Linked DNA regions of Canis lupus familiaris. The protein of the gene in region 2 interacts with the protein of the main gene of each other region in a biochemical or structural test. Links are inferred from orthologs where the notes say so. Each region holds a gene or a part of one and is shown on either strand. Other genes may lie near its edges.

Region 1 (7,279 bases), on a different chromosome or scaffold from region 2:
GGGGGGGTGTCTGCTAACTTAATGGTGAAGAAAAATCTTATTTTATGTTCCTATTTCTTAACCTGGCCAGAGTGTATTTTTCCCCCACATCTATGATCTGAACAAAAGGTTTATAACAGCTGTGATTTGGTTTCAAAAAGGAAAGAAAACATATAGAAACCTAATAGAAGATTGCTCGCTTTGGCAGCACATATAGAAACCTAATAGAAGAGGAAAGGAAGCTACACATAGACGAAGGTGATAGTAGGCAACAAATGCGAATAAGACAGAACTACATCAAGTCAGGTACCAGAACATCCAACCTCACTAGCTGAGGAAGCCCGCTGGAGACAGCCAGGCTGGAGTCCACACTGAGAGCCCTGGGTGGCGTGTCCTCCCCTGAGGTAAGACTTCTAACTGACCGTCTCCAAAGGGCTGTGTTTATAGGGCAAATGTCGGGGTCTGAAGCTAGGCATCTGTTCCCCTAGGAAGAGCGAGCTGCATTTTCACTGCAATATGTACTATATTTTCAAGGATCCTGGGCTAGGTGTGTCTGCCTACCCTCCTGGAACCCATCCTGGAGGGCCAGCCCTGCCTGCAGCAGGACAGGATGCAAGACAAGATTTGAGGCTCTATGTGTCCAGACCAGAAGGGCCGGTGCCGACCTGGAGGCCAGATGACATATTTTAAATAACCAGTCTCTCAAGATCATGCACACAGCCTGAGTCTCACAAACCACATCTTAGCCTGCCTGTGCATGTGCAGGTGCAGGTGGTCAGTCCCGCTGAGCAGATCACAGAAACCTCTATCCATACACAACAATCTATTCAGTAATTGTTTTTTTCTGTGAACTGACACATCCTATGGGGGGGGGGGGCTATTTCTCAATTATATTTTTTCTGTACCAAATTTTATGAACTTTTGTATGTTTGTAGTTCAAACTTTGCAAGTTTGGCTTTTGACCATTCCTGTTCCTATTTACTGTTCTACTCACTGAATATCATGGAATTTGTTGAACTCCTTCCTTCCTCTCTCTGTTCTCTTCACTAGGTTCTTTTTGTTGTTGTTGTTGTTTAGGGTTTTATTTATTTATTCATGAGAGACAGAGAGAAAGAGAGGCAGAGACACAGGCAGAGGGAGAAGCTCCATGCAGGGAGCCCAATGCAGGACTCCATCCCAGGACATGGGGATAATGCTCTGAGCGGGAGGCAGAAGCTGAACAGCTGAGCCACCCAGGCATCTCATCTCCATTAGGTTCTTAGTTTACCCAACTAATTGGGTGCGCTGGGTTTGAAGCCTTCTTCTGACCATTATGGAACAGAACTAACCTTACTTCGCTAGTTACACTTTCCATGCATTCTCAGGTCTATGCCAAATTTTAATAACACAAAACTGGAAGCAATGTAACACAATCTGCATCTGTATGGAATAACAAACTAATTTTTTAACACTTAAAAATTATGTAGTGCTAAGTTACAGTAATTTTTTATTTCAACTGCATGCTTGCTTGTTTTGAAAATAACTGTGGAGGCTGAGAAAATTAGGGCCATTCAAGTTTAACATTGGCACAAGCACACTGTAGCTTTGGTAGCAGTCTCAGACCACTGCGACCAGGCTACTGTGACCAGGTACTGAACTCTACCTTACCCTGGCTACAGAAAAAAACAAAAACAACAACAACAACAACAACAAATCGCGCCCTTATTAGAATAAGGAAGCAAGAGCTTGTGAGACCTCTTTACTGGAGACTCTCACACCCCCACCATTACTGAAAAATCCCACCTTCCTCCTAGACCAGCCCATAAAAACCCAGTTGGAGCCCACCTCGGGGTCCAAGTCCCTGCTCCGCTGTGTCGGGTGTACTTGGACCCAAGCTCGAGCTTGTTAATAAACCCTCATGTGTTTGCATCGGTGTCGGCTCCTTGGTGGTTTCTCGGATTCGCAACCTTGGGCACAATACAACCAACCAGATTGCTCCTCTCTCCAAATTTTTCCCCCTAAAGAAATGCTAACAAATGTCTGGGATCCTGGAGCTTTGGGTCTCATGGGACATACTCATTCCCTGCCTCCGGATTCCTCCGCTAGGGACGCGCGGGACAGTGGGCTGGAGGCCTGTTATGCCCGGGGACAGGACCGGTCCCGTGCGGGGCGGTTCACGCGAGGAGGCGCGTGCAGAGCGGATGCAGCAGGAGAGGGAACACTCGGGGAACCGCATGCAGAGAGGATGCGCCGGGAGAGGGCCCACGCGTCGAGGGGATGCACCGGGAGCGGGCCCAGGCGGGGCGGCGCGTGCAGAACCGGTGCACACGCGGGGGTCCCACGTCAGCCGTTTTCAGCCCGGCCCCAGCCCAGCCCCAGCCCCAGCCCCAGCCCCAGCCCCAGCCCCAGCCCAGCGTGGGCGGGGAGCTCGCAGCTCAGGTCCTAGCAGCTTACAAAAACACTTTTATAATGAAATCTTCGTAAAAAAAAATAGGGGCAGCCCGGCTGGCTCAGCGGTTTAGCGCCTGCCTTTGGCCCACGGCCGATCGGGTCCCACGTCGGGCTCCCTGCGTGGAGCCTGCTTCTCCCTCTGCCTCTCTCTCTCGCTCTCCCCTCCCCCTCCCGCCGTGTCTCTCATGAATAAATACATAAAGTCTTAAATAAAAATAAAACGGCTTCCCTCTCGTCCAGGTGTCATTTCCGGGCTAAGCGATAACCCTGGGAAGATTTCGGCCCGTGAGAAGGCGGGCAGGCGGGCCGGCCCGCGGACTGGAGAGCGACCCGCGGGAGGCGGGAGGCGGGAGGCGGGAGCACCGCTGCCAGGACCCCGGAGCGCGGCGCGCACCCCTGCCAGGACCTCGTGCGGAGGCGCGGCCGGCCGGGCTCCGCGAGCGTCAGGCACACCGCTGCCAGGACCCTGCGTGCGGCGCCCCTCCGTCACCGCCCGCGCGTCCCCGCCGCCGTCCGCGTCCCGGCCTGCGCCGCGCCGTGCCCTGCGGCCGCGCTCCCCAGCGCCCTTCTCGGTCCGTGCCCGCCGCCTCTCCGCCGGCCGCGCCCGCCCGCAGGGCCCCCGCCGCCGCCGCCCTGGCGCTCCCCGCGGGCCCAGCCGAGGCCGCCTGCGCCCTGTGCCAGCGCGCGCCCCGAGAGCCGGTGCGCGCCGACTGCGGCCACCGCTTCTGCCGGGCGTGCGTGGTGCGCTTTTGGGCCGAGGAGGACGGGCCCTTCCCGTGCCCCGAGTGCGCCGACGACTGCTGGCAGCGCGCGGTGGAGCCCGGCCGCCCGCCCCTCAGCCGCCGGCTGCTGGCGCTCGAGGAGGCGGCCGCGGCGCCCGCGCGCGACGGCCCGGCCTCCGAGGCGGCCCTGCAGCTGCTGTGCCGCGCCGACGGGGGCCCGCTGTGCGCCGCCTGCCGCATGGCCGCGGGGCCCGAGCCGCCCGAGTGGGAGCCGCGCTGGAGGAAGGCGCTGCGCGGCAAGGTGCGCGCGGGCGGGACCGGCCGCCGCCCCGGACAGGGCCCCGGACGGGGCCCCGTTTCCCTCTCCTCCGCCCTCAGACGGTGGCCCGCACCCCCTCCCCACCCCGGCCCCTGCCCCGCGCCCCCCGCCCCCCGCCCGGTGCTCTGACCCCCGGCATCCTCGGATGGCGCCCGGCCCCTCCTCCCCAGCCGTTCACCCCTCACCCTTAGATGTTGTCCTGTCCCCGCTCTCCAACCCGGGTCCGCGCCCCAGACTGCTCTGCTCCCTGTCCCCTGCCCTGCCTCCCAGTCCCCACCCTCCGCTGGCTTCCCTTCCCCCATTCCGAACCTGGGTCCCTGTCTCCAGATGGCATCCTGCCACCCGCCCCCAGGGTTCCCTGTCTCCCCATCCGGAACCCAGGCCCCTCTCCCGGAGGGACGGTATCCTGTCTCCCCTCTCAATCTTCAGAATGGTGTCCGATCCTCCGTCCAAGCCCCGCCCCGCCCCGCCCGGTCGGAAGGTGCCGGGTCCTCTCTCCAACCAGGGTCCCTTCCCCCAGGACGTGCTTTGTTCCCCCTCGCCCATCCCCGGACATCGCCCCCTCGCCTTATCCCGCACCCCTGAAGGGCGTTCTGTGCACGCTCCCGTCCCTGGACCATTCTCCTCCTCCACCTCGCACACGCAGCCCCTGTTCCATTTTCGGAGGGTTCTACCACTACCCCCGTCCGAGGTGGGCGTTCATCTGTTGGCCCCGCCTCCACGTGTGATGTCACCCCGCAGCAGCCCCACCCCCGCGGGCTGGACCGGGCGGCAAGCGTGGGCTGGCAGCTGCTGTGGTCCAGGTGCCCCCTCCCTTCACCCAGATGCTTCCCCACTCCATCCTGAAAGCTTGGCTGTTGCAGTCGACCAGTGCATGGGGCACCTGACCCTAGGTAGAAACCCACAGTGGAAGAGTCTGGCTGTAGCTGGGGGCCTGGGGACACCCCCTAAAGGGGGGTCACATTATGTCATTAAAGACAGCCTGGGCTCCCCTGAGCACCCTGGGGGTGGATTGGAGCTGGGCTATGCTCCTGCTGGGGGAACCCACAGGTGTAGGGTCTGGGGACCCTAGGTGACAGGAACGCTAGGGAGCCCACGGGATAGTCTCATATCCAGTTGCCTGATTGTATTCCTAGCAGGTGCATTTGTCAGGCTTCTTTCTGCAGAGAGCTTAATGGGCCTGCAGAGACCCCCCTCTGGTACCTGCAGCCCCTTTCTGTGGAGTCTGACAGGTCAAGATCACACACTGAGCCTGTCCCCAGACTGGCTGGGGGACCCTGGGCCTTCTGACTGTGTGTCCACCAGCGACCCGCGTGTCTTTTTAGGAGAACAAGGGGTCGGTGGAGATCATGAGAAAAGACCTGAACGATGCACGGGACCTGCATGGCCAGGCCGAGTCTGCTGCGGCCGTGTGGAAGGCAAGTGGCGTAGGCCTGGGGCGCACCCAAGGAGGGGATGTGGGTGTGGGCCCTGACCCGGATCGGTGGGGGTGCGGCTGGGTGCTGCACACTGCAGCAAACCCCCCTCCCCGGGGTGGGTAGCAGTGGGGCGGGAGGCCCCAGGGTGGATCCCGGGGCACAGGTGTCCCTGCCGTCTGCTTCCTGCCCTGCAGGGACATGTGATGGACCGCCGGAAGAAAGCCCTCACCGACTACAAGAAGCTGCGGGCCTTCTTTGCCGAGGAAGAGGCGCGTTTTCTGCAGGAGGCGGATAAAGACGAGGGGTCCTTGGAGGATGAGGACTCAGACCCGGCTGAGCGCTTTGGGTCCCTGCTGCAGGCTGTGTCGGAGCTGGAGCATAGGCACCGCAACCTGGGCCTCAGCATGCTGCTCCAGGTGGGCACCCCCTTACTGCAGACCCCAAGGGAGGGCGAGGAGGCAACTCACTAGGGCACAGGGCTTCCCACCAGCCAGGCAGCTCCTGCTCAAGGTTGGATGGGAGGACTGACTCTGGGACTCTGGCCTGTAAACACCCCTTGTCTATGGCAGGTCTGGCAGCCCCTGCCCTTTTGTCTTCAGGTCCCTGGGGTGCTGTTCCAATTCTGGAACGGCTGAGTAATCAGCTCCCAGGGGTGGAGTGGCTGCACTGAGGCTCCAGCCTGGGGGAGATGCCAGAAGCTGGGGGCGCCTCAAGGCCTGGGTCTCTCCTCCCCCCTCCTTCCCCTCCCCCTGCAGTGAGCTCCTGCCCCCTCTGCTGGCTCCAGGCCCCAGAAGCTGCACCCACCGTGGCCTGGCCCGCCATTGCTGCCTCCTGGACCCACAGCATCCTTCACCTTCGAGGGTCTGCTCCTAGGTGTACACGCAGGATGTGTACCACAGGTGCCCACCATGGGTTGTGCCAGAGAGTATCCCTGTTCCCTCTTCCTCTGGGCATTCATGTTCCCCAGGCTCCACACATGTGACCCTAGAGACCTATAGCCGGGGCACCGTTCACCCCAGTGTATCATGACTCTTCATAAAGCTCTTGTCGCTGCCGCCGAGTCTCATTGGCCTGGGGTCTCCGTGGCCGGCAGTGTCTTGGGCAGCCTGGGTCGTCCACCCCATTGAAAAGCCACCCACCATGGGGCCGTTCCACTGGATGTGCAGACCTGCTAGGGGTACATATGAGGTGTATGTGCAGGGAAAGAGGCTCAGGGCATCAGGGTGGGGAGGGCAGGCAGGCGGCTCAGACCTGCTTCTGGCTTGAGCCCCCAACAGCATGGGTCCCACAGAGCCTATACCTCTAGCGCCAGCTCTGTCTTCAGGAACTTTGTGGGGTCCGTGTCTGGGGCACTGTGTCCTTGAAGCTGTCACCCCTCTGCCTCCCAGTGTCCACATGGCTGTGCTCATTTCTCTGCACCACCTGCCCCTGGGTGACCTGGACCTGCCTCAACCTCACCCTCCTTTCCCCGACCCCTGCCAACCTGCCTGTCCTTGGCTGACCCGAGTGTTTTTCCTGGGGCAGAGGAACCGTTCAGGGCGCTGGTCACCCCCAGGCCTGGATAAGGTGTCTCATCTCCCTCTGCTCCTGGCCTCCTCTGCTTCAGTTTCCTTCCGTAGATGAATGTAGTGGGAACACGACTTGTGGGAGCAGCACGATGTAAATTCATGCAAGTGACAGTGAGGCAGTGGGGACGAGGGATCCCGGAATGTTGACTCAGAGCCATTAAAGACGGTGGAGGCTGGGTGTCCTACGCGATGGCTCGGAGTTAGGGTCAGCAGGTGCATTTCCAGAGGAGGCCTCCCATCACCGTCCCTGTGCGGCCGTCTGGTTTCTGTGATGTTGGGGGTGGCATGCCCGGCACTGGTCTGCAGTCAGGGAGCCCAGTAAAGAGGGCTTGCTATAGCCAGTTTGCCTGGCGCCCCTCCTTTCTGTCTCCTCCACAGCCCAGCCAGTGTCCAGGGAGGCCCTGTGTCCATGCTGGGGCCTAAAGGGGGCCCCCGTGATGGGCCCCGTGCCTCTGCTATGACGTCAGGGGGAGACCTGCTTATGTCTAGTCCAGCTGCCCACCCAGTTTGTGCTTGGAGACCTGCTGGAAGGCCTGCCTGTGCTCTGTGGGCAGAGCCTAAGACCATGGCCATGAAATCCTGATAAATAATCCTGACTCCTCTGAACAGGGGCAGTGCTAGAGGTGATCCTGTTCTAGACCCTGGTCGGGGAGAGGAGGGCGGGCACCAGAGGTAGCCACCTGGCCTGGGCCTAGCAGGCCAGGAACATTCCAGTGCAGATGGCCCTTGACTCCGCCAGGCCCACTGTCCCCTCAGTAGCTCCTCTGGGCACTGGGGGTGAAGGCTCCCAGCTGGCCCTCACATGCCCCTCTGCCGCGGGCCCCTAGTCCCCGTGAAATAGTA
Region 2 (7,191 bases):
AACGCCAGGAGCCGTGTTTGGGTTCTCTACTGACTGCAGGCGAGCGGATTTCCACTGAGGGACACTCGCGGGGACATCGAGCTGGAATAAACATCTGAAGGCAGCAGTGGAAAGTGTAGGAGAAATCATCAGGCACGATGCCCAAAATGAACTCAGCGGAAGAAGGAAAGTAAGGAAGACTGTGCAGGCTGCTACCGTTTGTTAAACAAGAAAAAGGAGAGTGCACCAAACTATACAATATCTGTATAAAATAATTCAGAATTGCAAAGTTGTTCTCTTGGGATGGGGAGGAGACTGGAATGCAGACGATGGGCACACTTTTCGCTGTGAAACTCTTTGTATATCTGAATTTTGAACAACGTTTAAATCAGTTCAATCCAAGAAAAGTTTACCAGTCTCTTACTATGTAACAAGAACCGCTTTAGAAGTCTGAGGGGTCCAACCCGTAACAAAACCAACTCAGTCATCCCCTTAACATCTCAAATTCCAGAGGAGGTAGTGTTATGAAACAGCCAGGTTGAAGGACAATGTGTTAAGATGCAATTTTAAACAATGTGGTTAGGGCAGGTTCTGCTGAGAGGATGACATTTGAAACAGGACTTGAAGGAGGTGGGAAGTAAGCCAAGCAAGTATGGGAAAAGAGAAGTGCAAGTACAAGTAAAAGCCAGTTCAAAGGTCCTGAAGTAGGAGCTTGTTGGCATGTTGCAGGAATAGCAAGGAGGTCCCTGTGGCAAGAGAGGAGTGGATCAACAAGGAAGAGTGACAGGAAATGTAGGTAGAGTCTGGGTGCAGGGGATGGGGTCAAAGAATGGGTAGGGCTTTAGGAGGATTACAAAGACTTCAACTTTTACTTTGAGCAGTGGGAGCCAATGAAGGGTCTGAGCAGAGGGGAACCTAACCTTGCTCTGACTTAACATTTCAACAGGACTGTTCTCACAGCTCGATGGAGAAGACAGGGTAGGGCAGTGTGTGACAGAAGGGGATAGAACTGTTGTGATCATCAGATCATGGAAGGTGGTACACAGATCATGGAAGGGTGTGAGAGAGTGAGGACACAGAGGGGACTGAAGGTGGAGTCTGTGCAATGTGTTCCTCTTGGGAGTCACAGAGGACTCCCTGGTATGGCCTGAACACCTGAAGGGATAGAGTTGCTGTTAACTGGGGTTGGGTGGGGAAGGCTCTGGAAAGAACAGGTGGAGGGCAGATTTGAAGTATGGTGTTGTTTATGGTGAGTGTGTGATAGTCCACAGAACATGCTGCTGGGACTTGGATGTGGAAGCCAGACATAGTAGGAGACACTGGGTGGGGATGTGTATTGTGGCCTCAGCAAGAATAGGGTCTTTCAGGCCAAGAAAATGGAAGAGATCAGTAGTATAGGACTGAGCAAGTGGAGGAAGAGGAGGAAGAAACCACAAGAGTGGCCAAGAAAAAGGTAGGAGGCCACGGATGCAGTTGGAGAGCCAGGGCCTATGGCATCCTGGAAGGTGCCAGGGAAGTGGCAGCAAGGAGGAAGCATTGGAGGAAAGGGCAAATGAAGTGAGGCCTGAGAAAGAGCCTTTGCCTTTGAGTTAGGATCTCTGAGGTCACTGGTGACCTTGACAAGACTGGTTTCTGAGGAGGGTGGTGTCTAAAGCCTGCCCTGGGTGACCTCAGGAGTGAGGAAAGAAGTGGAAGCCAATATTCCTGGCAGTTCTGGAGGGACCGCAAAGGGCTGGGTTATTTTGGTGGAGATTACAGTAGGGAAAGGTATTGTAAATGTTTTATTTGTTCAAAGCCAAAAATTGAATAAACAAGGAGGGGAGAACCACCGTGGGAAAAGTAGCCACAGACGTGGTTACAAAGCCAGGATTGGGGGTGGGGGCAAGAGCCACCTTCCAGACACTAAATTTAGCTCGCCCCGGGTCAGGACAAACCTGTACTGCGGGAACCTGACACTGTGGCCAGGGCGCTGGGCCCTTGGACATCCCGGCAACCGGGAGTGGCGCCCAGCTGGGTGTGTGCGCCCACCTGTCCGGGCCCGTTTCCCACGTCTGACTGATCCAGGCAGGGGGTGGACAAGGGGGGTCGCGGAGGGGCTGCGCAAGGGGGGCGCCGGAGGAGGGTGCCAGGAGACCAGCGGAGCCGCAGACCACGGCCGGGGTTCACGCGGCCAGGGCGGCCCAGGGCGGGGACGCGCGGCGCTGGCCTGCACTCGGCCCGCCTACAGACACGCTCTCGCGCTCTCGTGTCCCAGCCCGGCAAGCTCGCGGCTCGAGTCTCTGCCAGCCCGACTTCAGCCCCGCCCTTCCTCTCCCAGCGGGTGCTCGGAGGCCTCCTCGGGCCTCTGCACCCCTCGCCCCTCGACGTCCCCGGCACCGCCCGACCCGGGGCGCTGGGGGAGCGCATGGCGGCGGTGGGGCTGCGGACGGACCCCGGGGCCGGGGCCGAGGCGCTGGCCCTGGCGGCAGAACTGCAGGGCGAGACCACCTGCTCTATATGCCTGGAGCTCTTCCGCGAACCCGTGTCGGTCGAGTGCGGTCACAGCTTCTGCCGCTCCTGCATAGCGCGCTGCTGGGAGCGCCCCGGCCCCGGCCCCGGCCCCGGCCCCGGCCCCGGCCCCGGCCCCGGCCCTACCGCAGCGCCGCGCGCGCTGCCCTGCCCGCTGCCCTGCCCCCAGTGCCGGGAGCCAGTGCGGCCCAGCCAGCTGCGGCCCAACCGGCAGCTGGCCTCGGTGGCCACGCTGCTGCGGCGCTTCAGCCTACCCGGGGCCGCGCCCGGCGAGCGCGCACTCGCGGAGGCGGCCTGGGCGGGTTGCGCCCTGCATGGCGAACCACTCAAGCTCTACTGCCAGGACGACGGTCGCGCCATTTGCGTGGTGTGCGACCGCGCCCGCGAACACCGCGCGCACGCGGTGCTGCCCCTGGATGAGGCTGTGCAGGAGGCTAAGGTAAGCGCCCGCGCCCCCCGTGCAGGTCCCCAGGGCCCCAGCCCGGGTTCCGCCTGCCTGCATGTGCGGGGCAGAGGGCAAGCAGGCAGGCCTGCGGGAGGCCCGGGTGAGACCCTGCCGCTTCTCTCCTCTGCCACGCTAGCCAGCCTTGCCCTGGGACTCAGGGCAGCGCTCTCCGTGTCACCGCTACATCATTAATACCATCCTACCCGCCACCTCGAGTTTCCCTCTGGGCTCCTTCCTGGACCACCTTCGCGATACCTCTACAGACTTGGCGATTTTCATCCTGCTTGTCAGCCCCTGGCTTCTAGCAGCGCTGCCATCACACCCACACTTCCTCTGTCCACCCTCTCGGCCCTTTCCCTGCGGTGGCTCTGTGCTGCGTCCTGGGCCGAGTGGGGCGACTTTTCCAGGAGACTGGGGTAAGGCAGCGGGTGCCTGCTGCCTGGTTTGAGTGGAGCAGCAAAAGCTGTCGGTGGGCTGTGTCAAACATGTGGATCTTGGGCACTCTCTTTCCTGCCTCCTTACTGCCTCAGCACACAGCCCCCAGTCTTTTACTCTTTATTCCACTTCAGCCCTCCCACCCAGATGGCTTTCTGGTTCTGGGAGGGGTTTAGAGTTTTTTAAAATTTAAATTCAATTAGCCAACATATAAGTACATACTTAGTTTCCGATGTGGCATTCAACAATTTATCAGTTGCCTATAACACATGGTGCTCATCACATCCCATGCCCTCCTTAATGCCCATCCCCCAATTACCCCATCTCCCACCCACCTCCCTTCTAGCAACCCTGTTTGTTTCGAATAAGTAAGAGTCTCTCGTGGTTTGTCTCCCTCCCAGACAGCTTTCTGATGGTGAGGAGGAAAACAGAGGGGAAAACTAGGTAGGTTGGGCTGCTACAGGGCCTGCCTGCATTTCGGCTTGGATTGTGAACAGATGGTCTGGAGAAGTGAGACCTTGGGGCCTTAGGAGTCACCCTTCAGTTGCCCCGTACACCTATGTACTTCTGTGCAGGCTATAGCCATCTGGATGTCCAGATATGGCTTCAGCCCTGCCTCCTATTCTTCAATGAAGAGGGTCTTCTCTTTCTCCTAGATGGCTCCAGAAAGGCACATGTAGGGGTTTCCAGAGGCCTCTTACCATAATGTCTCCTTTCTCACCCTTTTGCAGGAACTCCTGGAGTCCAGGCTGAAGGTCTTGAAGAAGGATCTGGAGGACTATGAAGCATTTCGTTCCACTGAAGAGAAGGAGAGCAAGGAGCTTCTGGTGAGCGGGCATCCTCCAGGTGGATCCTCTTTGGGTGACAACAGAGGACCACCCACCATCCTGGGCCTGTGTGTGCACTCTTTAAAAAGAAGTAAAGTGAAGAGTGAAAGTTGGAGGAGTAACAAATGTTAAAGGACAACATTTAGCTGAGTAAAATTTGCAGGTATTATTGGCTTTATTCAGCAATTCATGAATTGAGCAGCATTCCATCTGGCAGATAGAAAAGAACTCTGAAAAGCTATACAAAGCAAAAGAATTTATAGGCAGACATGAGCAGGAACAAGGAATTTATACTAGGCCAAAAAGCAGATTGGTTATTGCAGTTACTTTCCCTGTTGGGGAGGGTAGAGGTTTATCAGGCAGTTACTTAACCAATACTGATCAGGTAATTCCTGATTGGCTGATGTGAGATTCTCTTTCTGAGAAAACTGAAACTGTGATTAAGTCTCTGTTTCCTAATGTGGGACTTAGCATCAGTGACTCCATTTTGAGCCTCTTGTGTAGTTTCTAACTCAAAATAAATGTGTTTGGGGGTGGAAAGGAAGTGACCTCAGTTTAATCTTTACAGTGGCTCTGGGAGACATTAAGTAATGTCCTAAATATTTCTCCTACTTTCCAAGTGAGACAGCTGCATCCCTGGGTGGTTCTGGGGCAAATCTGAAGTTGCCCTAGGTAGGTGGGAGAGCACATTTGTGACAGGGAACTCGAGAGCATGTGTTGAAACTGCTGTGTAAGGATATCTAAACTAGAGGATGTGTGTGGTGGGTATGTGTAGGTGAGCCTCTGACCCCTGAACAGTGAGATGAGTGGAATTCTGTCCTGTGGAATGGCTCAGATGCTACTGTCCAAATGCTACATCTTGACATCCCATTGCCTATCCCAATTCTCCCCTCCTGAGACAGAAGCAGATGGCAGCTGAGCGAGAGAAGGCGGGCGCGGAGTTCCAGGCACTGAGGGCCTTCCTGGTGGAGCAGGAAGGCCGGCTCTTGGGCCGCCTGGAGGAGCTGTCCCGGGAGGTGACACAGAAGCGGAATGAGAACATAGCTCAGCTTGAGGGTGAGATCACCCAGCTCTCCAAGCTCAGCAGCCAAATCCAGGAGACATCTCAAAAGCCTGACCTTGAATTTCTCCAGGTGAGTCTGGATTGGCCAAGAAGTATGAATCATTTATCCCCAGGCATCACAAATGGCAAGTGAGAACAGAGTCAGGTTCTGTGAATTTAGTAGAATCACATACTCAAGCAGAAGGGGACTGCAGAAAAGTGCCCTTCTTCTCCTGGGTTTAAAGGTCTAAAAAGATGTGGTAAAACTGTCTTGACCTTGAGCCGCAATAAAGATCTTATTGGCTTTACTCAACAATTCATGAATTGGGCTGAATACAATCTAGCAGACAGAAAGGAGTTCCAAAGAGCTGTATACAAGGTGTACGTCATATTCCAGTATATAAACCTTGTGACAAAAATCTCAGAAAATAATACTTATCTTTAGTACATGTAATGCGTTTTTTGACATTTTCTATTTTATTTCCTTTTAAAATAGTCACAGGGACGCCTGAGTGGCTCAGTGGTTGAGCTTCTGCCTTTCGCTCATGGCGTGATTCTGGGATCTGGGATTGAGTCCCACATCGGGCTCCTTGCAGGAGCCTGCTTCTCCCTCTGCCTGTGCTTCTGCCTCTCCCTCGTGTTTCTCATGAATAAATAAATAAAATAAATAGTCACAATCCACAAATAAACTTCACAAGGCACAAATGGGTCAAGCATACTCATTTAGAAGATACTGGTCTGAGTGGCCAGTCATTGCGGAAGGGCTATGACTTCCCTGGAGTGGTGTCGGGAGCAGAGGCAACACTGGATACCAGCACATGGCTCCAGTGATGATTCAGTAATGAAGGGAGCATTTGCAAAGCCCTGGGAAGGGAGGCGATGAGACACCCAGCAATCAGGCACAACAGGAAGCCACTGCCCTCTGGGCCACATGCAGGTGGTTGGGGGTGGTACACCTTATTGCTTACTCTCTAGAAGTAGGGCAAGAGGCCAGTTTTATTTTCTCAAAGGTGACTGGTGGTTACGTGATGCTGAGTTGGTTTTCTTTCATCTTTCTCACCAGGAATTCAAAAACACCTTAAGCAGGTGAGTGGACCTAGGAGTGCCTTAGGCCTCTACAAGCTGGCTCTTCTTTTCCACTGAGGTCTCTCTCTTCATTCCCTCACTGCTGACCTCTCACCTCCCAACTCCCACACCTCCTTACCAATGTAACTTCTAAGGCAAATGTCCACCTGACTGGCTGTGGATATTCTGTTGTAAGACCAGCCTCTTCTTTCTTTGCCTCTCCCCACCAAAGAGGACCTTGCCATCCTCAGTCCGGTGGGAGTAGGACAGTATTTGCGGGCTTCCTCTGGGTCTTTGTCCTGCAGGTGCAGCAATGTGCCTGGCCCCAAGCCCACCACAGTCTCTTCTGAGATGAAAAATAAAGTCTGGAATGTTTCCCTCAAGACCTTTGTCTTAAAGGGGCTGCTCAAGAAGTTCAAAGGTAGGGGCCTGTGCTTGGGGCTGGGCCACTCAGTGCTGGAGGCCATGGTGTGTTTTGGTATTTTGGGGTCCCAAGGATGTGCCTTTCCAAAAGCTGTGTGAGAAAATTGGAGCTAGAGTGTGTCAAGGCCAGATTGGTGCACAGAGATGAGGGTGGCAAATCCATTCAGCAACAATCCCCCTCAAGCCACCCCCCTAACCTCCTCAACACAAAGATACCCCCAGGGACAGGTGGGGTAGTGGATTAGGGGCAAAAAGAGGGATGAGGAGGAAGAGTTCAGGTCAGACTAGCTCAGGCTAAAGAGAGGAGACATGGGAGAGGTAGAGTTAGGATACTGCCCCTTCCCTATCCCCTACACTTGACCCAGTGTCTGCACATCAACTCTCAGCCTCTGGGGTATCTGGGGAGTGAGTGAGCCAGTGGGGCTGTAAATGTCAGAGGAGGTGGTATCACCGTCATTGCCAGAGAG

The links.
Region 1: the proteins of TRIM7 (region 2) and RNF187 interact in a test that uses a peptide from one of them, tested with the Homo sapiens proteins (2 studies listed by BioGRID, with this or other methods). The link is inferred for Canis lupus familiaris from reciprocal best matches to the Homo sapiens genes TRIM7 and RNF187.

What each region holds. Positions count from the first base shown.
Region 1 is NC_049235.1:238,124-245,402, reverse strand, and holds RNF187 (E3 ubiquitin-protein ligase RNF187), read left to right. Parts: upstream 1-2,235; coding exon 2,236-2,279; intron 2,280-2,702; coding exon 2,703-3,432; intron 3,433-4,775; coding exon 4,776-4,868; intron 4,869-5,062; coding exon 5,063-5,284; intron 5,285-5,623; coding exon 5,624-5,626; 3' UTR 5,627-5,923; downstream 5,924-7,279.
Region 2 is NC_049232.1:580,528-587,718, reverse strand, and holds the start of TRIM7 (E3 ubiquitin-protein ligase TRIM7), read left to right. Parts: upstream 1-2,213; 5' UTR 2,214-2,383; coding exon 2,384-2,926; intron 2,927-4,098; coding exon 4,099-4,194; intron 4,195-4,200; exon of another isoform or gene 4,201-4,357; intron 4,358-5,096; coding exon 5,097-5,327; intron 5,328-6,299; coding exon 6,300-6,322; intron 6,323-6,606; coding exon 6,607-6,722; intron 6,723-7,191. UniProt on the Homo sapiens protein: E3 ubiquitin-protein ligase that have both tumor-promoting and tumor-suppressing activities and functions in several biological processes including innate immunity, regulation of ferroptosis as well as cell proliferation and migration.